Diceros bicornis minor: one gene and its partners. The protein of the gene in region 1 interacts with the protein of each later gene in a pairwise test. Links are inferred from orthologs where the notes say so. Each region holds a gene or a part of one and is shown on either strand. Other genes may lie near its edges.

Region 1 (7,173 bases):
GTTAGCCCAGGGCCAGTCTTCCTCAGCAAGAAAAGAGGAGGATTGGCAGATGTTAGCACAGGGCTGATCTCCCTCACAAAAAAAAAAAAAAAAAAAAGATACAATAAGCTAAACCCCAAATGTGGGATATTCTAATAGAAAAGGAACCCAATCTCTTCAATAAATAAATGGCCTGAAAATAAAAGAGGGGTGAGTGAGAATTGTTATGGTTTAAAAGAGGCTTAAGTCATCTTTCTCTTTCAGTTCCTTTCCTTTTCATTTTCTTCCAGAACAATTCAGTCCCAAAGTCATTTGGTGGGCTGAATGAGGTAGGCATCTGTGTCGGTGAGTGGAGGGGAAGTAGCTCAGAGCACAAATGGGTTGAGAAGGGTGCTCATGTGGATTGAGGGGCCTCTGGAACATGGGAATCAGGACCCAAGCAGGGTGAGGAGTGTATCTGTGTGGGAGGATGGCCTGGTTCAGGGTGTTGGAGCCTGAGTGGGGTAACCTGGCACAGGATTTCAGGGTTTCAGAGGGGTGAAAAGGGCATCTGTGCAAGAGAGGGGGGTGGTTATGGCAACAGATACTGGTTACATACTGGATAATTGATCAAATAAGTTAATATATTAAAGATAATGGGAATTAGGTTTATCCATGTTGGAGAATGGAGTTACAAATGTGGAAATGAAGAAAACTAGAATGAACTCTGTGGTATTGAATTGGAATTGGAGGTATCTGTATGAACTCATGGTTTCAATATATATAGACATATATAGAAGTATAGTCATTTATGTGTGTCTATATCTAGATCTTTGTCTGTATCTATGTATCTTTCCTCCTAGCTCTGTCCATCGAAAGGACCTGGGAGCAACAACACCCCAATGTTAATGAGCATACCTAGTGTCCAGATCTTGGCTTTGACAATTTTGAACTTAACCTGAGCCCTGTGCTCCTGTGCTCTTTCCTTACCAAAGTCTGGATTTTTTTGTTTGTTTGTTTAAGCCGAGGAAGACTCCCCCTGAGCTAACATCTGTTGCCAATCTTCCTCTTTTTGTATGTGAACTGCCACCACAGCATCGCGACTGACAGACAGTGGTGGAGGTCTGCATCCAGGAACCAAACCTGGGCCGCCAAAGTGGAGCACACCGAACTTAACCACTGGGCCACTGGGGCTGGCCCTAGATTTGTTTTTTATTTGACAGTTTCTAAATACCACCTTAAACAAAAATAAACCAGGGATTCTTGGAAAATGGGCTGATTCCAAGGCTTGGGCAGAGAAAATACAAAATGAAACTAGGTTATCTTCTTGTACTAGCAAATAAAGAAACACTCAAAGAATATGGAGGCATGTGAAAAGGACACAGAAACCAGCTTGAAGGGGCTCTCCCTGGCTAAAACTGGGACAATTTGTGCATCAAATAAATACTGATAACAATGTATTATTATCTCACTGAATAAAAATATGAATCTACTGAATAAAAATAGAAATCGAGTCCATATTGATATAAAAATAAATAATTTGAAAGTCTGATGAGAAATTTGCATAGTTTCAAAAAACTGCCTCACAAAATACTTGCTAATTACAAAGGGAAAAGGAGTAATCTTACAGTGGAGAAGTTTGGCAGATACCACTTTAATTAAATGATCAGAGTAAATATCACTAGTAATGAACAAATGGAAATTGTGTGTTACCTGATAGGATGCAATGAGAACACAGTCACATTTCTGTGACAGTTCTGCCCAAGATGGCTAACCTGAATCTAACCACAAAGAAACCTCAGACAAACCCAAGCTGAGTGTCATTCTATATCCTAACTGTCCTGGAATCTTCATGACTCTTCTGTAGTTAGTTGTGGCCATGTGATCTACTTCTGGTTCATAAGATTTAAATGGGAGAAAGTGGAGTAGGCTTTACCAAAGTCATCATTGTTCTACTTAAAAATGGGGTAGGCTTGGGGCTGGCCCCGTGGCTTAGCAGTTAAGTGTGCAGCTCCACTACTGGCGGCCCGGGTTCGGATCCCAGGCGTGCACCAACGCACCACTTGTCCTTCCATGCTGAGGCGGCGTCCCACATACAGCAACTAGAAGGATGTGCAACTATGACATACAACTATCTACTGGGGCTTTGGGGAGAAAAAGGGAAAAAAGGAGGAGGATTAGCAATAGATGTTAGCTCAGGGCCAGTCTTCCTCAGCAAAAAGAGGAGGATTGGCATGGATGTTAGCTCAGGGCTGATCTTCCTCACAAAAAAAAAAAAAAAGGGAGTAGGCTTAGCTGGCATACACTTTTTGCTCTATGACAATTCCTATGTCTTAATCGATGACATATGCAGATATGGAAGAACGAAACGCACTCTTGCGACTATGAAGACTTGAGTTACAGTCTAAGTGTTACAACGCAGAAAAGGAGAAACAACCTGTTTCCTTCAGCAACTGCACCAAGCCTGGACCAGCTACCTTCAGGCTCCTTATTACATCACCCCTTGTTTGATTAAACTCTGGATTTCTATTAGGTGTGGTCAAATGCAAACTAGTCAAAACAACTTGCTTTTCCCTTATTTTTCTATATCACCCCATCTAGCTCCCCTCTCTGATCCCAACATTTTTTTGTTGGCAATTTTACTGGTATTGCATTATATTTGCAAATTAATTTATGGACAATAGATTTCTTTATGATGTTGAGCCTTCTTCAAGCACATGCTATACCTCTCCATTTGTTCTAGTCTTTTGTGCTGTAAGTAGGGTTGAAAGTTTTTGTCATATAATTTTGCATGTTTCTGCTATAATCACTATTTCTTTTTATTTGCCCCATAATTGACGCGGGGGGGGGGGAATGATGTTTTTCTGAATCCCAAGAGAATCTGAAAGACTTTAATGCCATTAGAGTTAATTATGACATAATCAGTCAAGGCACAGTTAGTGGGTTAAATATTTCAAGGCCAATTCGTAAATTAAAATTCACTTTTCTGTAACAAAAATAAGAGTACATTCTATTTTGTATATCAAACGTGTAAACACTGCATGCTCAGAGTTAAGATTTTCATAGATTAGGTAAAGTAGAAACTCCTGGGAGAGCTTCTTGCAAACACAAATTCAGTTTTATGAAACCTGAAAAGAAAGCGTATTTACCTGTCTAGTTTATGTTAACTCTTTTTAATGTCATTAAAGTATCTAGTTTATAATTATTGTCCAGTCTTCTTTATCTTTATGATTATAAATGTAAGCTCAGTGTTTTATACTCGCAAAGCACTTGATCAGTGCTTCAGAATGTCTTACTCAACATGCAACTTAAAGTTTTATGTTTGGGAGAGAGATTTTACGTTTGTATCATAAAACAAAAAAAAAAATCACACAAATAAATCGGTAATTGCACACTGTAATGAATAATGCTTGGATGGATAAGTACGAACATATAATATGAGGTCGGAGAAAAAATAATGTGAAACAACAGTTTAAATAAGCACGGATAAATTATGAAGTATAATGCAAAATTCACAAGACTTTCTCATATACTTAAGAAGTAGTTCACCAAAGCAAAACACCGACTCTTCGAAGCAATTTTGCCCTCCTGCTAGCTTGCACAGCCTTTCTGGCCAGCCTCCCTTCAGCCCATTTCCCCAGCACAGGGAAACTTTGGCGAGAAGGGCACTTCGGTAGAAATCTTTGAGAGGTACGGATTTAACCTTTATGAACTTCTAATTTACTCTGGTGATTTTAAGAGGAAATAGGTGAGAATGCCGTTAGTATTGCCCAAAGTGCGTAATAAATGTACTGTGACATTAATCTTGCTCGGTGCGATCTCAATATACGAAGCTGGGCAACTCCCGAGTTTGGTTTTCAATTATCCTTTAAAACCTGGAGCTGAAGGGATCACCAGAACATTAAGCAACACTCAGATCCGCGCATGCTCTGTTAATGGAGCAGCGCCCCTCCAACCACAATCGGAAGTCTCCGTTTGTTTATTAAATTACGACAGTCGTAAACAGATTTCGTGACGGCTTCCTCGCTTTACGACGACAGCGACTATGGCGGCTGCGTCCGGTAGATTTGAAAGTGCGAAGGGCATCGAAGAGCGTAAGGAACACACCCGGATTGCTAGGGCCGAGGTGTTGCGCCAGGTACCTCCGTTTTGGGGCTTTTGGAACCATTTAGAATTGTGAGAGGGGGGTTCCTGGGAGCTAGGCCTCTGCCTCTCCTCCCTTCCCGCCCCCTCTCTTCTCTCACCCCCTCAGTATCTCACCTTTATTTGGGTGCGTGGGTGGGGTCTCCCTTTGGGATGCCCGTAAGCTCTTGGGTACCTCCCACCTCCTAGGTGCTCTGGCAAGCTCCGGTTGCTTACACTCTTTTTCAGGAAGGCTTGTTTCTTTCTTCTGAGTTTCTTTGCCTTTTAAATCATCCATTCTTGACATTTCTGGCACCTTATCATTTGGGCTGCGCACTTTCCAGGGACGCCGCCGCTAATACCGACTCTCCTAGCATATTTCATAGCCTCAGTCCTCGTTTTTGCAGTATTTGAAATGAAATTTTCCGTGTTCAGGAACTCATGTAAGGAGCATTGGAGTAGACTGTGTTTGACCGTTTTATTCTTCTGTTTACTATTGGTATCAATTTCAGGCTTATTGTAAACCCTTACTGGTCAAATCAAGGATTGATGCAAGAGAACCAGAAAATTTAGTCCCCTGAAAAATGTTGGGAAACATCGTATTTCTCATTGAGATTGAGATACGTATAGGTAACTTATAAAGAAAGGAGGAAGTAAACTGTACTGAATTATTTGACAAGATGTAAGAAGTATGGCAACGAAGGAGAAAAGTTGTAGTTGGAGAGAAACATATGGTATAACAAGTGAGGGTTTTTATTTTTGCTTAAGATGGAAGAGTTTAAAACGAGTTTAAATGCAAATGAAAAGGAGCTGGTAGAGGAAACAGGAAGGAGAAGGCATAATGACTACAGCCAGATTTTAAAGGGGAAGAGTGGGCTGTCGGTCTTGGATAGGTGAAAGGTTGGTATTGATCCCTGATTGTACCATATTTAATATATAATAAATATTCTTCATCCTTGTCTCTTTGATATTTCAGGTGTTTTTTTGGAGTGGGGTTTGTAAGCTGTGATAAATTTTATAGTAGAGCTATGCATAGAGTTTGAGAAGGACCAAACCCAGCTTTGGAGTTTGGGGAGAGAATGAAAGGGCAGGAACAACCTCCTAGGAAGAACTTACTTTATTTGACAGTTGTTGAAGGTTGAATAAAAGTTAGGAATATAATCATTTGTTTTGAGAAAGATGATTCCTTCTGAAGCATTTTGGGAGTGTGAGTAGAGGGGTATGGGCATTGAGGATTAAAAATGTGCAGGTCAGTCTCCTAACATTTACAAAAGTCTCAGGCAGTAGCAGTGGGATGGTGAAGATAAAAGAGATTCAAGTTGTATTTAAGGTAGGGGGCTTAGAGAGAGAAGAGGGTCTGGAATAGGTCCCAGATTCTGTCCTTGATTGGCGGCTGAATTCACTAGAGATTGATAATATGATTGGTCATGTGGAACGAGAGATTTTTGTTTTTTAAACCTTTATACTTTGGTAGAAGCACATTCCTGGCGAGGGACAGACAATTCATTCATGAGCCTTATATGAAAGTGAAAGTTTTTGTTTTACTTTTTGTGAAAAGAGATTGGATCAGTTGTTAATTTTTCTTTTTTCATTGTTTTAGGCTAAAGCCAATTTTGAAAAAGAAGAAAGGCGTAAAGAACTTAAGCGACTTCGGGGTGAGGATACATGGATGCTACCTGATGTGAATGAGCGAATTGAACAGTTCTCACAGGTGAATACTAACATGTTTACCTGATGTAAGCATGTTTGTCTTTTTTTGTACTTATTCAAGTTAGTATTGGAGGAGCAACTTTATCGACTATTTTCACAAGTTTCAGAATGAATATCCCATATGGGCATTATTGAATAGTTTTTCTGGCATAAATAATTTTAATATTGTGGGCATTATGACGTTGGAAAGATTTTGTTACTTGAATTGGCAGGTAGAAAGCTTAGCTTCAAATTTCTGGCCCACTTGTAGCAAGCTTATGTGTCTAAAAAATTATGCATTTTAAACTTAATGTCTTTTTTTTTTGTCTGAATCCTTGTTTTCTCTTCCTGTAATTTATGCTATCTTGTTATATTTTATATGGTTAGTAATCTGTAAATACTTTTGGAGCCCTAGAAAGATATGTACGTATGTATGTTTATGTTTGTGTGTATATGTGTTTATTTGATTATATCTGTCTGTCAGATGTATCTACAAATAAAACTAAAACTTCTCTCATTTTTTTTGATAAGAAATCTCAGCTATATGACTTATTAGTAGTGCATATGTTACAGAAGCATGTTCAAGTTTCTTAGAAGATTTTATTTAGTTATATTCCTTGTCTCATTTCATGAAAGATATAAAGTTTTTTGGAACATAGATCTTTTTTTCCCTTAAAATATTTCCTTTTAAAGTAAGCTAAAACTAAATTCCTTTCTTACTCTTCAAAATGATTATAGGAACACTCTGTGAAGAAAAAGAAGAAAAAAGATAAGCATTCAAAAAAAGTAAAGAAAGAGAAGAAAAAAAAGAGCAAGAAGCAAAAGTATGAAAAAAACAATGAGTCAACTGATAGTTCATCAGTAAGTATGTACTAAAACTGACCAAAGCAGCTACTTGAGAAAACTGTATTTAAAGGAACAATGTATGGGAACTTAAAATATATGAGAACTTAAAAAATATTACCAGTTAGGGTGTGAAAATACCTGGGAGACATCTACTTGGAGATGTTCAAGAAATATTGGAAATAAGGATCTTAGGTTACAGAGAAAGGTGAGAGGATGGAGGTATGATTTGGGAATCACTGCTCGTTGAAGCCAGTAGAATGGATGAATTGCCTAGGGAAACTGAAAGGAAAGAAGAACACTCAACACCAAGGAGCTAGACAGGAAGTAAAGGACACTGAGTAGAAGTAGCTGGAAAATTAGGAGAAGCAGGAAAGAGTAGTACTGTAAAAATAAGGGAAAAGAGTTCCAAGACATTTGAGAATCTGTTACTTCTGTTTGTTTTTACATAGAAAAAAAATTTTGAGTCTTTCAAATAGGATGTGTTTATATATTTATCTTTGGGGCCAAAAGGAAGAGAATGCTGGGTCTGCTGTGTCTCTAGCCAGTTCTGGGATGAGA
Region 2 (8,032 bases), on another chromosome or scaffold:
CAGCATGGCCGGAGAAGCGGTGCGTCGGTGTGTGCCCGGGATCCGAACCCGGGCCGCCAGCAGCAGAGCGCACGCACTTAACCGCTAAGCCACGGGGCCGGCCCATGTTAGCGCCTCTTTATGACACTACACATTCTTCAACATAAACTCAAAGTCCATCCTCTCACTTAGATTTAAGCTCCTTCAGGGCAAACACTTTCTCACATATCTTAACATCCCTCAACCACAAACACAATGCAGGCAAGCACTTCATAACTACTTGTTAAATGTGCAGTGACTTAACGTAAATATACTAAATTACACTGGGCTTTGATTTCCAGACATTTCATGGCAGTTATCATTTGATGATTATTCATCTCCCTGTACTAAACAATATACATCGACGGTCTTAAGGAATATTCATTTAAGATTTTTTTGTGTGTGTGAGGAAGATCAGCCCTGAGCTAACATCCGATGCCAATTCTCCTTTTTTTTCTGGGAAAGACTGGCCCTGGGCTAACATCCTAAAGTAACTTCCTCTACTTTATATGGGACACCTCCACAGCATGGCTTGACAACTGGTGCATTGGTGCGTGCCCGAGATCCGAACCTGTGAACCCTGGGCCGCCAAAGCGGAGCCCGCGCACATAACCGCTGCACCACTGGGCCGGCCCCTCATTTAAGATATTTTTAAAAAGGGTCCAAAATGTAAAATACAAAAAAGATAAAGGAAAAGGTTACTTTTTACGATATATCCTATATATACTAAATGCACGTAAAAAGAAATACAACTTACCCTGATACAGCTGAAACAACAAAGCTTGGAGCAATGAGGACACAGGCGTGCATCCCGCAATTTCTCCATACAAATGAAACATCGGAAAACCTCAGCAATGCTCTGAAAATAGTAAAAGATGTAAAGTCCACCACATTAGGCTACTGCATGAAGAGTAAAAGGCATGCTTAAAATAATTCACTCAATATTTACATTTATTTTGGGCTGATAACTTTATACCATATCAGGACTTGGTTAGTCAAGGTCCAGGGTACCTGAGAACGTCTCCTGGAAAAGGTGCTTCCTTTTTTCTAAGCTTTCAATGATTCTATTCTAAGGAAAAGATATGAAACGCAAACATAGACTTATGCACAAATATTTTCACTGAAGCATTAATTATAATGGCAAGAATCTGGCTATTAGCCCAAATATCCAAATACTAATTAAACTATGGCAGTTAATACAGATTATGATAATCACTAGAAATATTTTTTGAATTATTTAATGATACAGAAAAATGCTTATGATGTATAACAGTAAGAAAAAAAAACTATATAATTGAATGAACAATATGAACTTTCTACTGTTTTCTGCACTTTCCCCAAGAGGATGGACTGCTTTTATAACTTAAAAAAAAAGGTTTAAAAAGATACATATCCTAATAGCAGTGTGCTTTGATCACGAGAAAAACTAATTCAGAATCCAGAAATCCAAATTTCTGCCCTGATGCTGAAACCAACTAGCTATTTATTTGAGCCTGAGATTCTGCCCCTATTGAGTTTTGGTGGTAGCTCTATGAACGCTCTGGGAAGAAAAAAAATTACATAAATAGAAAAAGCAGTATTATCTTTGCAAGCCTTAGATGAATCAATTTAGGAAGTAACTGACAAGAAAACAGATACAATTAAATACAGGTTATTATATATTTTATGTTTGTTTTTACAGTACTCACATTCATTTTGACTCCATTCCAGGAGAATTAAACTCTCCCAAAACCAAGGTAAGGTTACAAAACCTTTATGATACTTTCACACGAGGAATTAAGGAAAAAATTACTCATGAGTCTCATCATGACTCTGCAGGACCAGAAAGAACCTGTGACATGCAGACGTGGGGGGGTGGCCAATACGACCACTGGGTTAACTAGTTCCAAGTGGAGTGCCCAGTAACATAGTTGCCCCTTACTGAGAAGCAAAGATTTAGTACTTGGAAGGATCAAAATTTGACAATTATTATATAATTGAGTCTAATAAACAATCTTTTTTATGTTGCTAGCCTTAATGTAAATATCCCAACCATTCGAAATCACAGCTTACAAGAGTCAGATATAAAAATAATAGGTTTTTCCGGAAAACTACAGTCAAATAGGATAGTAAGAGTATATCTTCATTCAATCTAGGAAGGGCTGCAAAATGTACCGCTGGGCGGGAATGATTTGTCCATTCGGAAGATGTGGATCCGCGCGTAAACTCGCAAGAACTGGTGGCGAGTCGCAGGGCACGTCCATCTGATGAATTCGCAGTTTTGCTCTGCACACGCTGTACTTTGCAAAAACCCTGTGGGGATGAATACCGGTGCCAAGACATCCAGAAAAGGCCAGGATACGAACCATCTGACTGCGGGAACGGCCAGAGCACAAGGCACCTGGAAGGCTGCAAATAAGCGCTGTGTCCTTCGCACGGGGGGAGGCCCTCTCCACAGCGGCAGGGTGGGGTGCCCTACCAGAGGGAGGACTAGGGCAAAGCGCCCCGGATAAAGAAATAAAGAACGCTTAGCGGGGGGGGCGGGGGGTAGACTAACCACCACCCACCTCAAGCCCCCTCACCTCCACGCTCTGTTCATCCATTGCCTCCGGCTCTCGGCGGGGCCCTTGGCGACCCGCGGAGTCCGTAGACTGACCTAGAAGGCGCCGGCCCGAGGTCGCCGGGACAAATCGCCGCGGAGAACAGCCCGGCGCCCACGTCAGGGTGCTCCGACGACTGTCCCACCTGCGCGCCCCATCGCTTCGGGTTCGGCGCCAGCTACCCCCCCTTCGCCATTTTTATTCGCGAGCCCGCCACAGGGCGCAGTGGGAGGGCGAGCTGTGGCCGCAGCTCCTTCCTCCCGGCTCAGCCGCCCGCCAGCGACCGCGAGGGAGTCTCGGCCCACGTGACGCGGGGTATCGAACCGCTGCTACAGCCGGGCGGCGCTGGTCTCCAGCGAAGACGGCGGTGCAGGGAGTTCGCAAACACCAACGGTAACCAGGGCAGCTGGAGCCGCGGCGGCTAGGGAAGGCGCGGCGCGCATGCGCGCAGGACGCTGCGTTAGGGGAGTGCAGCGGCGGGGCGGACCCCTAGTTCCCGCGTTGCGGGTGCGCAGACGAGATTTGGCGGCTCGCTGCCGCAGGGTTGCGTGCCTTCGGCCCCAGGCTAGCGCAGGCGGCCAGGAGCTTAGCGCTTCGCTTCGCCCCGCCCCCCTCGGGGGAGGGGCAGCGCTCCACCCGTCTCAAAGTTTTGCGCGCCAATGACCGGAGGCACCTGGTGTGCTAGTGGAGAACGCCGACTCCGGAGCCACACCCTTGGGTATTCGGACTCGGTGATTCTAGGGTGGGGCTCCATGCAATCCACGTTTTCAACAACCACTCTGTGGCCCGCGCTTTGAGAAACCATGGTGCAAAGGATTCTCGGCTGGTAGTTCGTTCTCGGGGAGGAAGCCCAGATTCTCAGGTTTTTAAGACTTCCGCCCCACCTACGCAAGCAAAGCTCCAGATCATGAAGCTTAGACCGGTGGGGCTTCTCATTTCGGGGTGGGAGGAAAAGACCGCAGACTGTGTAGACATCAGACCGATACCACACCCCACCCCACCCCAGCCCTGCATTTCTTGCCGCTTGAGGTGAGCTGTTACTCTGGAACTATGGAAAGTGCACAAGGGTTATCAGCTGTCTTCAACTTTCTTCTATTGGCGTCTGCTTTCTACAATTCTCTAGCATAAGAGATGTTTAACGATTGCAGGAATTGAAGGTGTGAGATAAAGGACGTACATCAAATTCTTAATTTGAACTTAATTTTTCCATTCTGGTTTGTTGCAAATACCTACTATACTTAACCCAACCTAAAGTGCACATGTAGAGAATCAACAATCTAGAAAGAAGTTCTTGGTATCAAGGCATTTGGACTTTCTTATAAGTAGTGGATAACAACAATTTTTTTAAACTATGTGAGCCATGGACAAAGATATAAATTAGGAAGATTAATCTGTGACGGAAAAATTCGTTCACCAACAATTATTCATGGTCTTGGAACAACATTGAGGTGATGGTAGCACAACACCATTTGTACTAAAATGCCCTCAATTGTACACTTTAATAATGTTAAATGGTTAATTTTTATGTTATGTGAATTTTACCTCAAAAAAATTTATAGAACACTACTTGAGATTCAAAGAGTAATGAGAAATGGTCTTTGCAACCCAGTATAGTAGAAAAGAATAAGACAAATTAAAATATATATGATAAATATTACAATAGGTTCTTGTACAAATAGATATATTTGCCCAAGAACCCAAAAACGTTTCAGGATTTATTACAATAGTTTATAACTGAAAAATTAGAAAACCTGTACAGCTAGTCATTGGTTGCAAGCACAAAGTCAGATTCTGGCTAACTTAAGCAAAAAAGAAGTTAGTTGGCAGGATGCTAAACTACACACTGTGGAGTTGGGAAGCCTGTAATCTGCTCCATCAGAATTCCTTAAAGGCTGACCTTACTGCCCTCCCCCCATTACTGCCCCTGCCCCAGACAAATCTCCTAACTTGTCTATTATGCAGCTTAAAGCCTATCAATAAAGTACTAGTAAAAATTATGGGACACCCATATATTGGATTACAGCTGTTCAAAAGAATGGCAGATTTGTGACATGAAGATATCCAAAATATATTTAAAATGAAAAAACCAAGTGCAGCTGCAGTACAATGTGTGGTATCAGCCTATTTTTGTAATGAAAAAAAATTTAATTTGTATACATGTAGAAACATCTGAAGAAACTGCAGATTACTTCTGGAGAATAGGCACACTTGTATTTTTAAATTTCTTAAAATTAAAGTTGCATTAAAACAACTTAATTAAAATTAATTTTTATTACTTACAACTAAAAACATAAAAACACTATAGTCACATAAGAGAAAACAATTATCCAGATGGGAAATAAAAGGTCTAAATTAGGGTAGTAAGAATGAAGTGGAGGTTGGAAACTATGAACATTCCAGAGACAAAATTATAGATTTTATCAACTAACCAGAATAGTGGCCAATAACGAAATCAGTAAGTATTTTTGACGTGTTCAATTTGAATACTCAAGTAAAGGTTTTCATTGGAAATATGGATGTAGATCTAGTGCAAGAGTTATATTTGGGAATTATCCACAAAGAGACAATAAATGAAGCTTGGGAAACAAATGAATATATAAAGAAGTGCATAGAGAACAATTTTAAGGGAGATGAGGGGAAGAACCAACATTTCGAAGATAGCTGAGAAGGAAGGAAAAACAGTACAGTCTAGTATTTTTCCCAAGTGAAAGCAAAACCACTTGAACACCAGGAACTTGTTATGACCTCATGATACTATCATTTTTCAATCCCACCAATCAATATCATATCCCAGGGCCATCCCCCAACAGAAACTTCCTTAATATTAATTGCCTGAATACTGAAGAAAATTAATATCTGTTACTAAGGTGTGACTTATTTCTCTGTAATTTAAAAAAGGGGAGCTTTCTGTTCTTAAATTAGACAGGACAATTTTAACTGAAGCTACTCTCCCAACCGTGTCTGTCAGCTATTATAAGTTTTTTAATGGACAACTACATGCTCACAACAGAAATTTTTTTAATTATATGAAAGTGTAATTCTCTAACCTGCAGAACTAACATTTGATGCATTTTTCCTAGTCTTTTCAATGCCTTATTTTTATTACATATATGGAAAAACCATTTATTGAAGGATTACTAAATATCAGACCCAACCACTTTACCATCTCATTGTGCTTCCAACCATCCTGACACATAGAAGTTAAGTGATTTGCTCAAGGTCACATAGCCAGATTTGAAAACCTGCTATTTACATCTCAGGTATGACTCCAAAGCCCAATCTTAACTATAAAACTGCAAGATGTGCTTCTCTTCTCTCCCATTTAGCATAGCTTCAGCATTTCCCAGAACATTAACAGTAATAATTTATTGGCAACTTGACCTCTTATTGTATAGATACACATGATTTCCTTTCCTATTTAGATACCAGTAGCTGGATATGTATGTGTATTTCTATTATAGATAACTCTGATTAACATCTTTGTATCAAGATCTGTCCCTACTTTGAACAATTACCTTATTGCCCATAGTTATTTAAAAATAAATAGGGAAATTCACATACACGCACACACACACACACAAACTGGCAAGTAGCAATAGCCAGTGCTCCTCTGATTTCAGTTTCTTACTTTTCATATAGAATGAACAACTATAGTAATATAGGCTGAAAGAGAACAAAGGTAGTATTGAAATACAAGAGGGAGGGGCCAGCCCGGTGGCGCAGCGGTTAGGTGCGAGCACTCTGCTTTGCCGCCCGGGGTTCGCAGGTTTAGATCCTGGGTGTGCACTGAAGCAAAGCTTGTCAAATCATGCTGTGGCGCCGTACCATATAAAGTAGAGGAAGATGGGCATGGATGTTAGCCCCGGGCCAGTCTTCCTCAGCAAAAAAGAGGAGGATCAGAATTGGATGTTACAGGGCTGATCTTCCTCACAAAAAAAAAAAAAAAAGGAAATACAAGAGGGACCATCTGAAACAGCATTTGAAAGCAGAGCTCATGCTGTTCAACATTAGTAGGCATAAGGAATAGGAAAAAAAGAAACAAAAGTGAGGCTGTCTTAGAAAAGCCAGCTTACTACTAAAGTTAGGTTTTGTAGGAGACTGTAGGTCACATATTAGTCTCACAGATAATGTGAGCACATTTGCAATCAAAATTTTCCAAAATAAAATTATCTACATATATAATACAAATATTTTTTCTATCCTTTAATTTCCAAAGCATGCTCATTCACGTTTGACTGATAGTACACAAATATTCTTTTACAATAGGCCAGGACACCTATGTTATCCTAATTATACAAAAACAGATGCAAAATAGTATTAAGAGAATTCCTTGCCTGAAATGATAAGACTAAGAGTATGTGCATATATTTTTTAAATCCCTTTATTCCCATTCTATCCTTTTGGCTAATTATTAATATAATATCTGCCCCTCCTATATTCCCCTCTCTTGTGAAAGGCACACTATCCAGTCACCCAAGCCAAATCTTCTCCTTCACCATCCCCCCACCTCTAGTTATCAACTGCTAACAAGACATCTTCCTAAACCTCTCTGGAATTGATCTCTTCTCCATTAGAGTTCCCTCTTGCAGGTCCATTTCTTCATAAATCTGACATGTGAGATTTTAATTGCTCTGCTGCAGTTTTCTCTTCTTCAGTCAGTGGTGATAACTAGAAAACAAATGACAAAATCTTTATTTTAAAAGCTTTAAAGACTGTTAAATTGATTTAGTTAACTTCTCCTTTGTCACACCAACAAATGTTTCCATAAGCTCACACTATGTATGTATGTGATCACAAATTTAGGAAGGCAGAGAAAAAATAGATATTTGCTTATCTACATACAAGGTACTTTGATGTTGGAGTTTCCAAAGCACTTGCAATTAAGTTGAAGAAATAAGACCAAGAAACAATTTTAAGACTGGAATTTAACAGAACCAAAGAAGTCACATTTGTTTTTTTGTTTGTTTTTGCTGAGGAAGATTAGCCCTGAGCTAACATCTGTTGCCAGTCTTCCTCTTTTTTTTGCTTGAGGAAGATTAGCCATGAGCTAACACCTGTGCCAATCTTCCTCCACTTTATACGCAGGTCACTACCACACTGCCGACAAGTGGTGGAGGACCACGCCTGGGAACCAAACCCAGGCTGCCGAAGCAGAGCGTGACAAACTTAACCACTAGGCCATGGGGCCAGCCCAGAAGTCACGTTTGAATGCTATATTTTAAAAGTATTTTGAAAAAGAAGTGTGAACAAAAATAGTCTGGAAGTTTCCTCAGAAGTAGACACTTAGGCTAAATTTTGAAGGATAATTAAGAGGCTTTTGGCTGCAAGTTAATAGAAACACATTTCAAAATGGATAAATAATAAGAAAATGTATTATCATTGCACAATAAATACAAAAGGGCAAACTTCAAGACTGGTTTATTCAGCAGCTCAAC
Region 3 (7,973 bases), on another chromosome or scaffold:
AAAATTCACCCTTCACCCGTCTTAAGTATAAAAGTCATTGAATTCAATGAATTTTATTATACTTACAATGTTGGAAAACCATCACAATTTAATTTTGGAAACTTCATGGCCATTTATAGTTGCTTCTCATTCCTATCCCTAGCCCTAGGCAACTACTACCCCACTTACTCTTAACCCTTCAGGCTGTAGACTCTGAATCCTGAGTTCTGATCTCTTTGCCCTTCTAACACCTCTATTCTTTATCAGATTCATCTGTAGCTGAGGATAAATGGCTCTCAGCCCTGGAAGGAACACGATGGTTGGACTATGTCAGGTACTCCCTTTTTCTGGCCATCATTTATAATTCGACCCTCTCCAACCTTCTGTTAACTTGGACTCCTAAATGGCCTTCCATTAACTCTTCTCCTTGGTTTCCCAAGAAGACTGTTATTTGCTGCTCCTTAGAAGGAGCTGCCTGTTTCATCCCAGGACCCATCACTCCCTCCCTTCAGGCTTTTCATTCTTCCCTCCCCTTCCTCACCTGCCCCTCCAGGTCTTGTCTTCGAAAGGCCAGTGACATCTCAGTCTTAGTGACATCCAGAGTTCGCTCTGTAGTACTTCAAGGTGAGTTTCTTGGGTCAACTCCCTCCATTCCTTGCCTTTTTCCTTTACCCACCTGACTGGTTCTGCTCAGAGAGGGAGAACTATAAGGCTTCCTTGTTCCCTTCTAGTGCTAGCATCCTCCTCTCCTGTTACTAGGAACTACCCATGAGCTCTAACTCATCCTTCAGTGCTACTTCTGCCTCCCCACTAAGCTTGTGGTCCCTAACAGTAGGGTTCTCAGCTCTCTGTTCCCGTCCTTCCATCAGTGGATGGGGATTGGGATTGGGGTGGGAAGGACAATGTGGAAGCTGGTTTGAGATTTGTGATTCTGCCTCCTACATGTGAAGCTGGGTATTTCTATCCAAGTGGAGTCTATGAAGTGAATCATTCAAGGTCTTTGTTTTGTCTTCACTTCTATGTGCCCTCTCAATCCTAACTACCCAAAACTTTTCCCCTCTGTGCCTCTTACTTCTTCTTGCCGTGCTTCCTTTTCTCATTCTCTTCTGCCCTAGTTTCTTGGTCCCTCCTTCTTTGTCCCTTCTCCCTCTTTATCACCCAGAGCGCGGTGATCGTGATTTCAATGGCCTCCTCTCTTCACTCGTCCAGCTGCTTTCAGCCCCTGAAGCCCGAACACTGCTTGGCTTCCAATCACTAGTGCAGCGAGAGTGGGTGGCAGCTGGACATCCCTTCCTGACCCGACTTGGGGGAACTGGGGCCAGTGAAGAGGTGAGAATGTTTTGGGAGTGTTTTGGGGGGGGGGGTATTACTAAAGAAGTAAGGGGATGAGAAAATTATATAGTATAATCCATTGGAGGTGAATCAGGTCAGAAGGGTCCTGAAGTTAGGCTGAGCTTGAAGAGAGACCCAGATGAGTGAGGGACCACAACCCTTTACACTCAATTCAGATTCCATTCCTGACCTTCCTACTGGCTCCTGTTCCCTGTGTCTCTCATCCCGTCATTTTGTCATCCTCCCCTTCTAGGTCCCCACAATCTCTTCCAACCTCGTAATTTCCCTCCTCAGGCCCCAGTGTTTTTCCTCTTCCTTGATTGCGTCTGGCAGCTCCTCCAGCAGTTTCCAGCTGAGTTTGAATTCTCTGAGTTTTTCCTTCTTGCTCTTCAAGACAGTGTCAGGGTTCCTGACACCCTTACATTCTTGAGAGACACTCCCTGGGAGCGTGGAAAGCAGAGTGGACAGGTCAGTGACTTCCATTTTTGACTTGTCTTTTTTTCCCCCATTGAGAAGTACTCTCTGAATTTTAGTCTTGATTTATGAAAAGTGAGGTCTGTCGGTGGGAAAGGGGGAGGTTGGCACTCACTCTCAGGACCCGACTTTCACTCCATCTGATTCTTGGAGTAAGAGATAAGAGTTTCATGATTTCTCTATAGACGTGAGAGAAGGATTATATTTTTTTATGTTTGTTTAACCATCCTTTTTCTTGTTTCTTCTGTCCAGTTCAACTCCTATCCACAAGTCTATACCCCAGGGTACTCCCAGCTCCCAGCTGGGAACTCTGTTAACCCACAGCTGTCTGTCTGGGACTGGGATTTACGCTACAGCAATGAACAGATACTACAATTCCATAATCCTGGCTATGACCCGGAACACTGCCCAGATTCCTGGCTCCCTAGACAGCAGGTGAGGTGTCTAAATTTCCTAAATTCCCTTGACTGTCTCACAGACTCATCCTATTAGATGGCGAGAAGTGGAAAGGCACAGTGTCTGAGTTCCCCAGGGAAAGCTATCCCACTCCTCTTCTGTAGCTGTTATTTATAGTCGCTGTCCCCAGGAAGACAGAAATCCTGGAATTGCACAGAGGGCATCCTTTTTGTCCTCCTCATCTCCTTTCTCATGCACACATTTTACAAGTTTCCCTAAAGTCAACTTTAATCAGTCCTGAGGTCTAGTCTGAAACCTAATGAGGAGAGTAAACAGAGTTCTCAGGGGTAGGCTTGTAGTTCCATCAATAGTGCAGTGTGAGTGGGTGGTTGCTGGGCATTCCTTCTTGACCCGGTTTGGGGAAACTGGGGTCATATGGTTTCCAGGTTGCTAGTTGATTTCTCTTTCTCCTTTAGCCAAGCTTCATGGTTCCTGGACCCCCCAGTTCTGTGTGGCTCTTCTCTAGAGGGGCCCTGACCCCCCTGAATCAGCTCTGCCCTTGGCGGGACAGTCCCTCCCTGCTGGCAGTCTCTTCTCGTTGGCTCCCTCGACCTGCTATCTCCTCTGAAAGTCTAGCTGATCAGGAGTGGGGGCTCCCCTCACATTGGGGAGCTTGCCCTTTACCCCCAGGGCTGCTGCTGCCTGGATATCTGGGACCCCAGATCAGACTCTGGAGACGCTGCTACCTGAGGGGAAGGCCTGAGGTCCAGGTGAGTAGGGAAGACAGGGATTGGGAGTGGGAGAAGGGGCTTGACTGCTGAACTAGATGATCCAAGAGAAACCAGCTATTTCTAGGAGCTGGAAAGGCAAGAGGCTGGAGGGACTGGGAAGTCAAGTTCTATTAGTGTAGGTATCCAGGTGGATACATTTGGGAGTGTGGGGCACGGGGGAACCTGCTTGTGACTTAGATCAAGTGGAACCTAGGGCATAAGTGGAGGGGGAAAGAGAATTAAAGACGCCAGAAGCAGTGGACAGATCTTAGAAGCAGAGAGCTAGAGCTGCAATAATATTCCTCTCTGCCTCTCTTCACCCCACCCCAGATGGGCCTCTCGGCTCCCACAATCTCTGGCCTCCAGGATGAGCTATCCCATCTTCAAGAGCTATTAAGGAAATGGACACCAAGAATATCTCCTGAGGATCACTCCAAGAAAAGAGATCCAAATACCATTCTCTCCCAATCCCGTTGAAATTGCTGGCTTTCTCATGGGCAGGGCAGAGGGCAGTCTACGATGGGGAAGGGTTCCTCTAATCCTTCAGTTTTTCTTATCTGGTCTTGCTGCCTCAGCTTTTACACTCCAGCCCTTAAACAAGCTGGCTGACTTGTTTCCATTGCAGATGGCGGGGTGCTAACCTTCTCTAACTCTTGTCCCGTCTCATTTGTTTCTTATAATTTGAAGAATTAAGAAACAAAAACAATCCAAAGTATGATCACCTCTTTTTTTCAGGGAAATTGCATCCATTTTGGATATCCAGCTGTTAAATTGTGAGATAAGAGATGCTATTCAACAGTCCCAACAAGAAGGTCTACAGACCTCAGTCTCACCTCCTCTTGCTGCTTCTTTAACTCTAATTTCTATTTCTTCCCTTACAGTTTTCTATGGGTATGTGGAGTGGATATGGGAGACACCCTGTCTCTTCCAATTGTGTATTTTTGTAGTGACATTTCTATTAATGAGTTCATTAAAGCTCAGTATTTATACACACTGCTGGCATAGTTTCTTGTGTTTGAATAAAAGATCCCAGGTAAGTGGTGGATGGAGGGTGGCTGTGACCCAAGAGAAGGCGGCACCCACCACATATTGCTAAGGAAATAAGGGTATGTGTCAGGTGAGGCTCTGCAGAATTCATATGCAATTTGGGAAAAGTGTTCTCTTTTCTGTGCCTCTCATTTAGGGGAAACATGGGGCAAAAGCATACCAAGGTGTTGTCGCTGCGGCGAGCGGTATGTTCTGGACGTTAAGACTGAGGACCCCGGGCGTCAGTGTCAACCGCCCTCAGCTTCGGTCGCACTCCATCTCTGAGCCCCAGGTTCCCCTCACCCCCCTGTGCAATAACGATTCGGTGAACTCATACGTCGCTCCAGCTCAGACATTCCGCAATCCCCTCCCCTGAGGGAAAACGAAATACCTGAAGCCCAGCCCGGCGGTGAAGCCGCATCTGCCCAAAGGCGGCTGCCCGGGGTGGAGAGCTGCCTCCGCGCTCGAAGCAGCCGAGTCCTTGGGGTGGGGGGGTTCCTCAGCACACCCTTCTCTGGGGAACAAAAGAAGGAACATTTGGCTACAAAATATATGAAAAGTAAAGTTTTGTTCTTTTAGGTTTCGAATTTACACTTTTGGGAGCAGTATAACCCTTTAACGTCTAGCACTTCTTAAGACGGTCTGAGCATTTCCCTTCCGCCTTCCCCGCCCTCCCCGCTCGCAGCGGCACCTTAACACAAAACCAGCGACTGGAGAACTGAGCGCCGTCTCAGCGGCTCCCAAGATGGCCGCGGCCGCTTCCGGCCCCTCCCCCGCCGGGGCCCCACCCACAGCCTCCCGTACGCCTTCGCTCCGGAAGTGGAAGTAGTGACTGAGTTCAGAGGGCGGAATCGCTGCTTGGAGGCGGCGGGACGTTTTTCGCCATGGCGGCCGGGCCCATCTCCGAGCGGAACCAGGGTGACTGGAGGGGACAAGCCCGGAATGGACTCAGGGCGGCTGGGAGGTCTCGACTAAGGCCAGCAGTGTTTCTACCGGGGCGGGAGACTGAACCTCCGCGGAGGGCGCGAGAGCGGCCCCGGTGCCTGCTGGGGGCGGGGTGGCTGGGTGCGGGCTGAGGCCTGTAGGTGTGATGCTCTCTATATCCAATCCCCTGCTGCCTTCCCGCTCCAAAAAAAAAAAAATTCAAAAAGAATTTGCGGCAGAACTCTTAGACTTCAGAAGATTCTCCAGTTCCTGGAAAGAGAAAGGTGTAAGGGCTTAATCTAACGTCTTTTTTTTTTTTTCTTTTTGCTCCTCTGCCTTATCTTCACTCTCAATTCCCCCGCCTGGATTCCATCTTCATATTTCTGTCACCTCCTTTGCTGTCATACTCTCATTTCTGCTCTAACTTCCTGCTCCCGCCCTCCAGATGCCACGGTGTACGTGGGGGGCCTGGACGAGAAAGTTAGCGAACCACTGCTGTGGGAGCTATTTCTCCAGGCAGGGCCAGTAGTCAACACCCACATGCCAAAGGATAGAGTCACTGGTCAGCACCAAGGTGAGTACATGGCAAGAGTGCATTTGGCTGTTGAGGGGACAAACTGCTCCTGGAGGACCCCAGCAGTATTCACAACTGTTTTGTAATGAGCAACCTAAAGATTTCTTTCTCTTAAGCCTAGCTCACAGTTTGTTTCTGGAACCATTCTCAATCAAAGTGAGATTATTATTTCTTGTTCTTTGTGCTTTCGGAGGTGAATGACTTTTACACCATTTTAAATCACTTCACGTAAGTTGTTAACCTCCTCTCTTCCACTTCCCCAGGCTATGGCTTTGTGGAATTCTTGAGTGAGGAAGATGCTGACTATGCCATTAAGATTATGAACATGATCAAACTCTATGGGAAGCCAATACGGGTGAACAAGGCATCAGCTCACAACAAAAACCTGGATGTGGGGGCCAACATTTTCATTGGGAACCTGGACCCAGAGATTGATGAGAAGCTACTTTATGATACTTTCAGTGCCTTTGGGGTCATCTTACAAACCCCCAAGATTATGCGGGACCCTGACACAGGCAACTCCAAAGGTTATGCCTTTATTAATTTTGCTTCGTTTGATGCTTCGGATGCAGCAATTGAGGCCATGAATGGGCAGTATCTCTGTAATCGCCCTATTACCGTGTCCTATGCCTTCAAGAAGGACTCCAAGGGTGAACGCCATGGCTCAGCAGCTGAACGACTTCTGGCAGCCCAGAACCCACTCTCCCAGGCTGACCGCCCCCATCAGCTGTTTGCAGATGCACCCCCTCCACCTTCTGCCCCTAATCCTGTGGTATCATCATTGGGATCTGGGCTTCCTCCACCAGGTAAAGCTTTTGATTTAAAATATGTTTGTCTTGGGTTGGGGAAGGGAGGGCAGGAGGAAGGAAAAAGAACTTGATAAAGACAGACATTGAGTCAGTGGGTCGTGAGAAGGCTTGAGGGATGATGGTTGTGGTGGGGAAGAAAACTGTTGAGTTTCTCCAGAAAGTTGAAGTTGTATGAGTTGCCTAACATTGCTTCTGGCTTTAGAGGGCTGGGAGGAGGGGAAAGGAGCTCATCCTGCCTGGAGAGGCGTGATTGGAACTGGCTCTCTAAAGATAGTCTCTCCTCACTAGCATTAACTCTTCTTCCATTTCTTCTATAGGCATGCCTCCTCCTGGCTCCTTCCCACCTCCAGTGCCACCTCCTGGAGCCCTTCCACCTGGGATACCCCCAGCCATGCCCCCACCACCTATGCCTCCTGGGGCTGGGGGACATGGCCCCCCATCAGCAGGAACCCCAGGGGCTGGACATCCTGGACATGGACACTCTCATCCTCACCCATTCCCACCCGGTGGGATGCCCCATCCAGGTGGGTGTTCTTTGCTGAGAAAGGGAGGGATGAGCTTCATAGAGGAGCTCTATCATCACTCATGCTGCTGCTTTTTATCCTTCAACAATAATAGTCCCAGAGCTCTCCTTTCCTTCAAACGTTCATTTACAAAAACAAACACAAAACTCTTTACTGTGTTTACTTTACCAATTACCATCCTGTCTCGATTTCTTAGTTAAGTTTTTCCAAAGAGTAATCTATACTTGCTGTTTTCTGTTTCCTTAACTTTTATTTCCATTCTCTCTGACTTCCATTCAGTGCAGTGACCTAATTGCCAAATTAGGGGACATTTCTGCTCCTTATCTGGTTTGACTTTTGCTGTACTTGAAACCAGCCATGTCCTCCTGTTTGGAAATCTTGTCTCTTGGTTTTTCTGGATTCTCCATCTGTCTGCCTGACTCCTCGTTCTCAGCCACCTTAATAAACTTCTTTTTCTCCGCTTGTCCCTAGGTTTTTGTGCTTGGTTCTCTGTTCTGCATAGTTCCATTACTTTTACATTGATGCCTCCTAGATCTATATTTCTGGTCCATCGTTATTAACATTTCAGATCCTTAATCCTGCTGCTTAATAGACAGCTCCACCTTTTTATCCCTCCCCTTCAAATCTATTCTTCCTGTAGTATTTGTTTTCAGAAATCTTGGAGCTATGTTTGACTATTACCTATCACCCCACTCTTAATACCAAGTCTTATTAATATCTCTGGCAACAGCCCCCACTGCCAGTGCCCTGGTTAAGGCCCTCATATTTTCATTATTTCATACCTAATTTATTGTAGTAATTTCCTAGGTGACACTTTGACTCCAATTTCTCTACTGTTGATCCAGTTTCATGGTAATTTTTCTAAAACACAGATGTTCACACACCCTTGCTCAAAATTTTTCTCTTGCTCCCTTTTACCTACAGAGTGAAACTCAGAGTTGTTACCATAGCATTCTAGGCTTTTTGTGATCAGGCCCCTGCCCATTACTCCTGTGACTGCACGCTGCTCCTTTATTACTGAGTTACTCATTTTCCTGGAACGTACTGCGCTGTTTGACATACCTGTGATTTTCACATGCTAATCTTTTATGCCTGGGATGTTCTATTCCCACTCTCTTGTCCACCTGAAAAATTTTTATTCATCCTTTAGAATTAGATCTTTTCT
Region 4 (7,888 bases), on another chromosome or scaffold:
ATAAACAACAAATCACTTTTTAGCTGAAGTCCAAATATTGCACGGAACGTAGTTGACGGGGCTCCCTGTATTTTATCTAGCTGCCCTAACTTAGAGCGTTTCCTTGACATCAGCCTGCCTCTGACTCCTTCAGGCACAGAAGCCCTGGAAGGGGCGTGTTTAAGGAGCACCTCCTGAGTGCCCGTCCATGGTCTCTACAGCAAGTCTCCACTTTTCAGCTGAGGAAACCGAGGTCATGTGACCTTCAAGAGCCAGGGTTCAGATGCAGGCCACTCTGTATGCTGTCGGGTTTTCCAGTCATCTGCCTACAATCTTGGTAGCAGACAAGCGATGGTCCTCACCAGAGGTTTAAAAAATATATACAGGAGAGAAAACAGTCATCTGAGGAAACTGTCTCTATCGGCTCAGTGTTTTCTGGGATTTAGGGAAAGACCCCATCGTTGGTTCTCTAGGGTGGAATGTCTTGGTCCCACCTCGCAGGCGTCGCAGGGGAGGCTGTGACAGTCGTGAGAATTGTATTCTGCGGTTTACTCCACTGTGTCCCGTCCATCCTATTACTTGAACCTCACAAAAGTCTTATAGGGCAGTAGTGACCCTGCCTCTAAGGCTTCTGAGAAGCAAAGGACATATACATTCTAATAAACCCCACGCCTGGTGGTAAACATCCTAGTCCAGAGCCATTTCCACCATATTCAAGCTTGTCTGTCTCCTGTCCTGTCCCTCAGGGTCTTGCTCGGGAAGAGGTGTCTCATCTGGTTCACATGTTGTACTATGAGAGTTAATACTAATGGCTCCATCTTGTCCCTCTTGGGTGGCATATAACTATTTCACAGGGCCTTCTGGAGTTGTCTTTAAGGCAAAAATCTCAGGTATTTTCATCACCATCATCATCATCATCCAGAAATTATCACTAAAAAGTATATACCGGGCTGTGGCAAGAGCTCTCCTAGATCGCCTCCTACACTTCTCTCAGCAACCTAATGGGGAAAGAAGAAAGAGTTGATCCCCATTTTACAGATGAGGAAACTGAGGCTCAAGTGATAAAGTGAGTTGCTCAAAGTCATTCTGCTTATTAGTGACGGAGCTTGGATTTGAACCCATGCTCTCCTAATTCCCAAGGCCATGATCTTGACCCTCTGTTATGTTGCCGTAGAAGAAGGTCCTGGAGGGCTAGGATGGGCCATCTTCATCCTCCATCGAGACGTGACCTGTCCAGTGGTCCAGCAGAGTAAGGAAAGAGAAGCCATAATCATTCCCCACGTGCCTAACCTTTTACAACTCTTTTCACAGACATCAGTCCATTTATCCTCAGAACAGCCATGTGAGGCTGGTACTGTCATCTCCATTTCACCAGTGAGAAAACTGAGGCTCAGAAAAGGGGTGTGACTTGCCTGAGACCACACAGCCGATGACAGGCTGTGTGGCCTTCACACCTTGAGCCCGAGTCTTCTGCCTCCAGTCCCCAGGTTCTCCCTGGGACACCCTGCCACTCCAGGCACAGGTGGGTGGGGTGGCCAGGCATGGAAGCAGGTCTGCGGCTTGGGACACGCCCGCTTGTGGCGCACAATGGGGGAAATTCCAAAAGCTCTTTGCGATGGCTCAGGTGTGGGCACGCGACAGTCCTCCTCTGGGACCCTCCCCCTGACGCACACTTTCCCTTTTCCTCCCCGTGCCACCCCTAACAACAACCAGAAACGGGGTCCCCTCCCTTCCTGAAAACCCTGCTCCCCTTGGCCGCACGGCCACAGGGCTTTTTTCCACAAACAGCCACTTCCATCCATCTCTGTCCCGCGGGCCGCGGGGCCTCGATGGGGAAACGCCGACTTTGAGGAGGTTAAAGGTGCTGGTGCCCGGCCTTCATCTAACAAATGGGTTGCCGTGACGGGAGGAACTCTTGTTGTTTTTTCCTGGCCTCCGAAGAGGGGCCTGTCAGGAAGATGTAGAGGCCAGCAGGCCCCCGGCCGCGCCCCCGCGGGGTGGCTGACAGACGCCGGCAGCTGCGGGGCGCAGGGGTGCCAGGGCCCCCCCACAGAGCCACAGCACCCCCGCCGCGCCCCCTCCCCGCTGCCCCTCCTGACCTCTCCGCCCACCCCACCATGACCCCGGGCCCACCCCTTCCAGGGGCAAAGGGCCAGGCGCTGGGCCTCCCTGGGATGGGGTCTCTGGGCCAGATGCAAGGCCAGAGCAGGAATCCGGTTACAGCCTGCGGGCCAGGCCCCTGGGGAAGGTTTTCCTAGGAAAGCTGACAGGCCAGATCTTCCTCCCAGCCTTCTATGGATTCCTTCCAGAGCCCCCACAGCCTGGGACCCCGCGAGGGACCTCACAAGGCTGTTTCTGTAGAATTTCCTCAGTGCTCCCCAGTCCCACAGTCCCCCTTCGGAATCATTGAGTTAAAGAGAATGAGATATGCTAGGAAGGGAGCCGCATTTATCTATCACCTGCTTTGCACTTCACATGAATGATTTGTTTAAAATTCTCCAATGTCTGTGGAGTGGGCATCCTGATGGAGTGGAGCCAGGCTGCCTGGGTTGGAATCCTGGATCCTCCACTCCCCAGCTGTGTGACCCTGTGCAGGTTACACAGTCTCTCTGTGCTTCAGAGTCCTCTTCTGAAAAACGGAGGTGATGAGAAAAGCACTTGTCCCAGAGGGCTTTTGTGAGGATCCCCTGGGGGAATATGTGTGAGGTGCTAAGATCAGCGGATGAATGTCAGCTCTGACTATCATCTCAGATGAGGAAACAGAAGCTCAGAGAGGTGGGGCGACTTGTCCCAGGGCACACAGCCAGGAAGTGGCAGACCCAGTATTTGAACTCACACCTGTCTAACCCCAAAGTCCATGCTCCTTCTTCTGCATCAAGCTGCTCCAGACTGGACAGCTGGACACTTGAGGGCAACTCCTGGTTCTGCCATATCTTAGCTGTGATTCTGAGCAGCCCACATCATCTGTCTGAGCCTCATTTTTCTCATTTGTAAAATGTAGAACATAATTCTGACTTTACCGACAATAAGAGAGTTGTGAGGTTGAGAGGAGAAACGTGTATGCAACAGCCAAGTCCTGGACAAAGCAGAGAGATGAGTCTGGTTTGTGGCTATGACTCCATCTCCTCTACTGGCCTACGACACTCTGGCCGCCCTTTCCAGAATGCAGGATGCCTATTTCATGAAGAGAGTGTGTGCCACCTCCAGGCTGCAGAGCTAAGACCCGTGGCCCCTCCTCAGGGAACCCTGGGCATCTTTGGAACCAGCCAGCAGAGACACTGCTATTACGGTCCATGCCTATTTCAGCCTGATCTTGCTGCTCCGGGCCACGGAAATATTCGGTAGGAGAGGAGCACTGGCTCCGTGTGCTTGGAATGTCGTCCTCCAAGAAATTACATTAACCCTCCAGAAAGACCAGCAGGGCATGAGGACTAAGGAGACTGATGGACCGGTCAAGATGGCAATTGGTCCTCCTGTGATAGGCACCAGCCAGGAAGACCATGTGACTGTTTGCCCAAGACAATTCCTTTGGGAATGAGAATCCCCCTGATTCCTATTTCCATGCCCCAGATTCCATGGAAGCTTTGGCCTCGGGGGGGGTGGGGCAGGGGAAGCAGGTGGGTGAAGGTTAGGGGGGCCAGGGAGCAGGTGGGGGAGGCCTGGAGAAACTTCAAGGACCTCATCTAAGAGCCTTTCCTTTACCATGGAGAAAAACGACTTGAAACCCCTCTAGAGAAGAGTGTGGCTAATTGGCATGTAAGTTGGGGGTTAAAGAGCGGAAGGAAGAATCTGAAAGTTTTTTTAAGTTGCTGAGAAAGTGAGACTGTCACTTTGGGCAGAAAGAAATCATTTTTTTCTGGAGTGTGTCTTTCTTTATACTACAGACCATAGTGGGCCGCTGAGACTTGCAAAAAAAGATTTCTTTTAATCCACCTCCCTTTTTGCAAGCGGCAGTAGAAGGGCCCTTAAATCAAATGCAATCAGCAAACTTGTCTCTTGCACTTATTCCCCTCTTCACTCCCTGGAATTTGGCACTTGATGGATTCTGGATCTGACTTAAGGCTTTTTCCAAATCCAAGACTTGGGGAATTTTGTTAACAGTGCAATAAAATAACTTCATAGTGTTACAGGAGGCACATTAAAGAAGTTGTGTGTGTGTGTGCTGCTCTCGCTCCTTAAAAAAAAAAAAATACAGACAATGTTTCTTTAAAAGTCTCCATCTGCAAATCCCATTAGATGTGCATATAAGGTTTCTGATGATTAATAGTTGCCTGCTCGGGTTTTGGTTGGAGGGGATCGTGCGTGTGCAGGTTAACCCCTCCCTCTCCTCTCTCACATTTCACTTCAGAAATTTGTCACTCTCTCCCCACCGCAGGATTTAAAAGTGTGTCTCAGCAGCCCTGGTCCAGCCCTCTGCAGGGCTCCAGGACGAGCACTCATCAGCTGGTGCATCTGGGCTGGGACAGTGAAAATGTTCAGTGTCATCGGTGATAAATACACGTACAGGGGACCCCGATAAGCAGGCTGGTGTGTCAGGGGGACAGGAAGCCAGGAGAGAAGTCCGACATAGGTGTGTGCACACGTACGTGTAGCCAGCCACGTGTGTGCATACTTTAAGGAAAGACTTTAGTTTTTGTTTTGGTTCCTGGGGTGAATTTTCTGTTGAACATTTTTCCCTCTTGTTTAACTTTTTTTTTCTGCATTTAAAAAATTTTTAATATAAAAAGTATAAGAATCAAACCGAAAAGACGGAGGCACGCAGCAGACGGCAGATGGATCCCGCGGCCAGCAGCTGCATGAGGAGCCCCCACCCCCCAGCCCCGGTCTGGGGCTGCCTTCGGAATCCCCACTCGGAAGGCAATGGGGCCTCGGGGCTACCCCACTACCCGCCAACCCCGTTCTCCTTCCACCAGAAACCAGACTTCCCGGCGACAGCAACAGCAGCGTACCCCGACTTCTCAGCCTCCTGCTTGGCGGCCACCCCACACAGCCTGCCCCGGGAGGAGCGTGTCTTCACTGAGCAGCACCCCGCTTTCCCACAGCCCCCCGACTGGCACTTCCCTGTCTCGGAAGCCAGGCGCAGGCTCAACCCGGGCCCAGCTGCGAGCTCCAGGGAGATGGGGGCCAGCAGCCCAGGCCTGGTGGACGCCACGGGAGGCCCAGGCGAGGACTACGAGGTCCTTGGGAGCACTGCCAACGAGACGGAGAAGAAGTCAGCCAGACGGAAAAAGGAGAGTTCAGGTAGGTGGCTGAGGAGCAGCTGACCGTTCCTTTACTGTGTGACCTTGGGGAGGTTGTTTGCCCTCTCTGAGCCTAGCTGCTCTGACCATGAATTGCGAACAATACTATCTAACCTACCCAAAGGCAGGAGTTAACTTCGGGGTTTCTTCTACTCAGAGTTCTAGGATTCTCTCCTGATGGGGACCCTGTCTATATCCCCTGTACTCCTGGGCTCCAGGAAGGATGTACCAGCAAGAGAATGAAATAGGATCCACAAAGATTTGGAGGATACGTGGGATGGAGTGTCTGGGTGCAGGCTGGCAAGGGCTGAAGAGGGGCTTTCCTGAATCTGGGCTACCTCTGCATCATGCTTCTCCCCACCATACCCTGGCCAGCTCCAAATGGTCCCAGAGCCACAAGGTTTGCTCACCAGGGGAGTGAGCTGAGACGGAGGCTCAGAAGGCTAGGACTGAGGCTGGGACCCTGGGTGGTCAAAGAGAGCCAGGACCCTGAGTGGTCAAGGAGAGCGGGACCCTCCAGGAGCCTAGAGGCAGAGAAGCAGCCCTAGGGCTGGGATGGTAGAGGCAAGGAATGAGAGGGAGATGAAGCACTGAGATTCAGGACAGATGGCCATGAGGTATCACCCTGCCCAGCTGGGCCATGCCCAGGCCAAGGGGGCAGATCAGCGTGCTAAGGCCTGGGTGACCCCCAGGGAAGGCCACCCCTCTGAGGAGCCCTCCTGAGGCATCACCAGCCTTGGGGAGAGTCAGGGAGGTGGGCAGCCAAGGGCAAGCTCTAGACCTCAGCTTGCAGGTAAAGCCCCGCTCGGCGCTGGAGCCCCAAAGGCCAGAGGACAGAGCTGGCCTGCCTGTTAAGAGCCCAGCTAAAGTCCATCTCCTCCCCACAGTGGGGACCCGTTGTTTCCGCATCTCCCCATGGGGCTCTCCCCAGCTCCTCTCACCACCCGGTTACCTTTTGCCTGGAACAAGGCAGTGCCTGCGCCTCCCTCCCCCCCTGCCCGCTATGCCCTTCTGACAGCCACTCTAGGGGCAACGTCTGTCTGTCTGAACCTATAGAGAACCTTCTCCTGGGGCTAACCAGGGGCAGGCAGAAAATGAGAGTGCCAACCAATCAACGAGGACACTGTGCTTTGCTTTACAAGGCACTTTCCATGTAGCACAGACTTCTCGAGCATCCTCGCTTTGCCAAGCACTGGCCCAGGCCCTGGGGATGCAGAGATGAATAAGGTGGTCTCGCCCCCAAGGAGCTCACATTGAGAGGGAGGAGAGGCCTGCAGAGGCCTGTCTGGCAGTGGATGTGCTATGATCGGGGAGGTTCGAGGTGCTGTGAGAAATGTATGTTAGCACTTTTGAGTCCCTCCAGTTTGCGAGGTAAGTATAGCAGGTCTTATCAGCATCTCGGTTCTATCCGTGTGGAAAAGGAGAGATGGAAAGTTTGAGGGGAACACTGCTAGAATGGAGTCTAAATAGAGTGACCCCTGCATCTCAATTTGCCCAGGACTTTTCTGGTTTTAGCACTGAAAGTCCCGTATCTCAGGAAACCCTCTTAGCCCCAGGCAAACTGGGACAGTTGGTCACCCTAGAAGCGAGCTCGAACCCCGGGCTTCAGACTCCAAATCCTACACCCTGCAGTAGATTTCAAGCACAATCCTCCTTTTGAAATATTCAGTCTCCATGCTTGAAGAAGCCCTCACCGTGTTCACAATGGATGATACTGACCACAGCCCTCCTGGCTGCTCAATCTGAGGGCCCTTTAAATCCCCAGCCAGTTAAATCCGGACCTATTCCTAGCCCTGGTTGGAGATTTGCTGAGAATGGGCACTTTCTGCTTCTCCTCTCCAAGGCGCTCTCAGTGACTTGGCTCTGCACCTGGCTGAAGAGCTCTCCCCTGTGTGGCGCCTGCCACCGTAGCTCCTCCCTCTCTGCCCACATCTCCCTCGGCTGCCTCCAGCCACTTTCCAGGGAACTGGGAGCCAAGGCCTTGGGAAGGCATGGGCAGAGCCAAGGGCTGGGCTTAGGCAGAATCATTCTGTGTTTCAGCAAGACCCAAATGCGCCGTCTTTCCCTTTGGCCAGGGGCCATGGCGCTGCATTAGGGAGTAAGCTCACGTGCCAGGCAGCTGACCACCCCAAGAGCACATGGACACCCTCTGCTTAATGCCCTGTACTCTTCACTGGTCGGGGGAGGTTCCCATCCAGGAGGGGCCCTGGGCTCTCCCTTGAGGTCCCCTCAGTCGCAGCAGCAATGGCAGCAGTCGCACAAGGCAGGGCACAGCAAGCTGACTTTCATTCATTCTCTGAGGTTCCAGGCCCACTCTCTGTTCAGCATGGAAATCTTATCACTCAGTTAGTTGCTTGAGTCTTCCTTTGGAATTTAACTGATGGGGAAGGAGGCGGGAAAGATTAGCTTTGTAAGAGCCTAAAGAGAGAGCAAAAGGATGAGCAAGGCTCACAACCAACTCCAGGAATCTGGGATTCAGCTTAGAAGAGACAAACCGCAGAGAACCCCCACCCCAGCCCACCAACCCTGAGTCACTGGTTGGATTCTCTCTCTATCTAGAATTTTGATATTCTATTCATTATGGATTTTTTGCATTAATTTTGATTTTTAAAAACATCACATTGGGGCCGGCCCTGTGGCGTAGCTGTTAAGTGCGTGCACTCCGCTGC

Evidence for each region.
Region 2: the proteins of CWF19L2 (region 1) and TRIM37 interact in binary tests that used the Homo sapiens proteins (3 or more experiments, as listed by UniProt). The two-hybrid records come from large-scale screens. The link is inferred for Diceros bicornis minor from reciprocal best matches to the Homo sapiens genes CWF19L2 and TRIM37.
Region 3: the proteins of CWF19L2 (region 1) and SF3B4 interact in binary tests that used the Homo sapiens proteins (3 or more experiments, as listed by UniProt). The two-hybrid records come from large-scale screens. The link is inferred for Diceros bicornis minor from reciprocal best matches to the Homo sapiens genes CWF19L2 and SF3B4.
Region 4: the proteins of CWF19L2 (region 1) and MEOX1 interact in binary tests that used the Homo sapiens proteins (3 or more experiments, as listed by UniProt). The two-hybrid records come from large-scale screens. The link is inferred for Diceros bicornis minor from reciprocal best matches to the Homo sapiens genes CWF19L2 and MEOX1.

What each region holds. Positions count from the first base shown.
Region 1 is NC_080746.1:28,177,432-28,184,604, forward strand, and holds the start of CWF19L2 (CWF19-like protein 2), read left to right. Parts: upstream 1-3,973; 5' UTR 3,974-4,003; coding exon 4,004-4,096; intron 4,097-5,680; coding exon 5,681-5,791; intron 5,792-6,507; coding exon 6,508-6,630; intron 6,631-7,173.
Region 2 is NC_080757.1:28,654,413-28,662,444, reverse strand, and holds the start of TRIM37 (E3 ubiquitin-protein ligase TRIM37), read right to left. Parts: upstream 3,046-8,032; 5' UTR 2,601-3,045; coding exon 2,580-2,600; intron 2,311-2,579; coding exon 2,173-2,310; intron 2,156-2,172; exon of another isoform or gene 1,713-2,155; coding exon of another isoform or gene 1,707-1,712; intron 878-1,706; coding exon 776-877; intron 1-775. Other genes in the region: SKA2 (spindle and kinetochore-associated protein 2), read right to left, coding at 7,253-7,265. UniProt on the Homo sapiens protein: E3 ubiquitin-protein ligase required to prevent centriole reduplication. Probably acts by ubiquitinating positive regulators of centriole reduplication.
Region 3 is NC_080743.1:54,472,297-54,480,269, reverse strand, and holds the start of SF3B4 (splicing factor 3B subunit 4), read left to right. Parts: upstream 1-4,796; 5' UTR 4,797-4,861; coding exon 4,862-4,895; intron 4,896-5,346; coding exon 5,347-5,475; intron 5,476-5,738; coding exon 5,739-6,281; intron 6,282-6,601; coding exon 6,602-6,808; intron 6,809-7,973. UniProt on the Homo sapiens protein: Component of the 17S U2 SnRNP complex of the spliceosome, a large ribonucleoprotein complex that removes introns from transcribed pre-mRNAs.
Region 4 is NC_080757.1:42,388,857-42,396,744, reverse strand, and holds the start of MEOX1 (homeobox protein MOX-1), read left to right. Parts: upstream 1-4,751; coding exon 4,752-5,220; intron 5,221-7,888. UniProt on the Homo sapiens protein: Mesodermal transcription factor that plays a key role in somitogenesis and is specifically required for sclerotome development. Required for maintenance of the sclerotome polarity and formation of the cranio-cervical joints.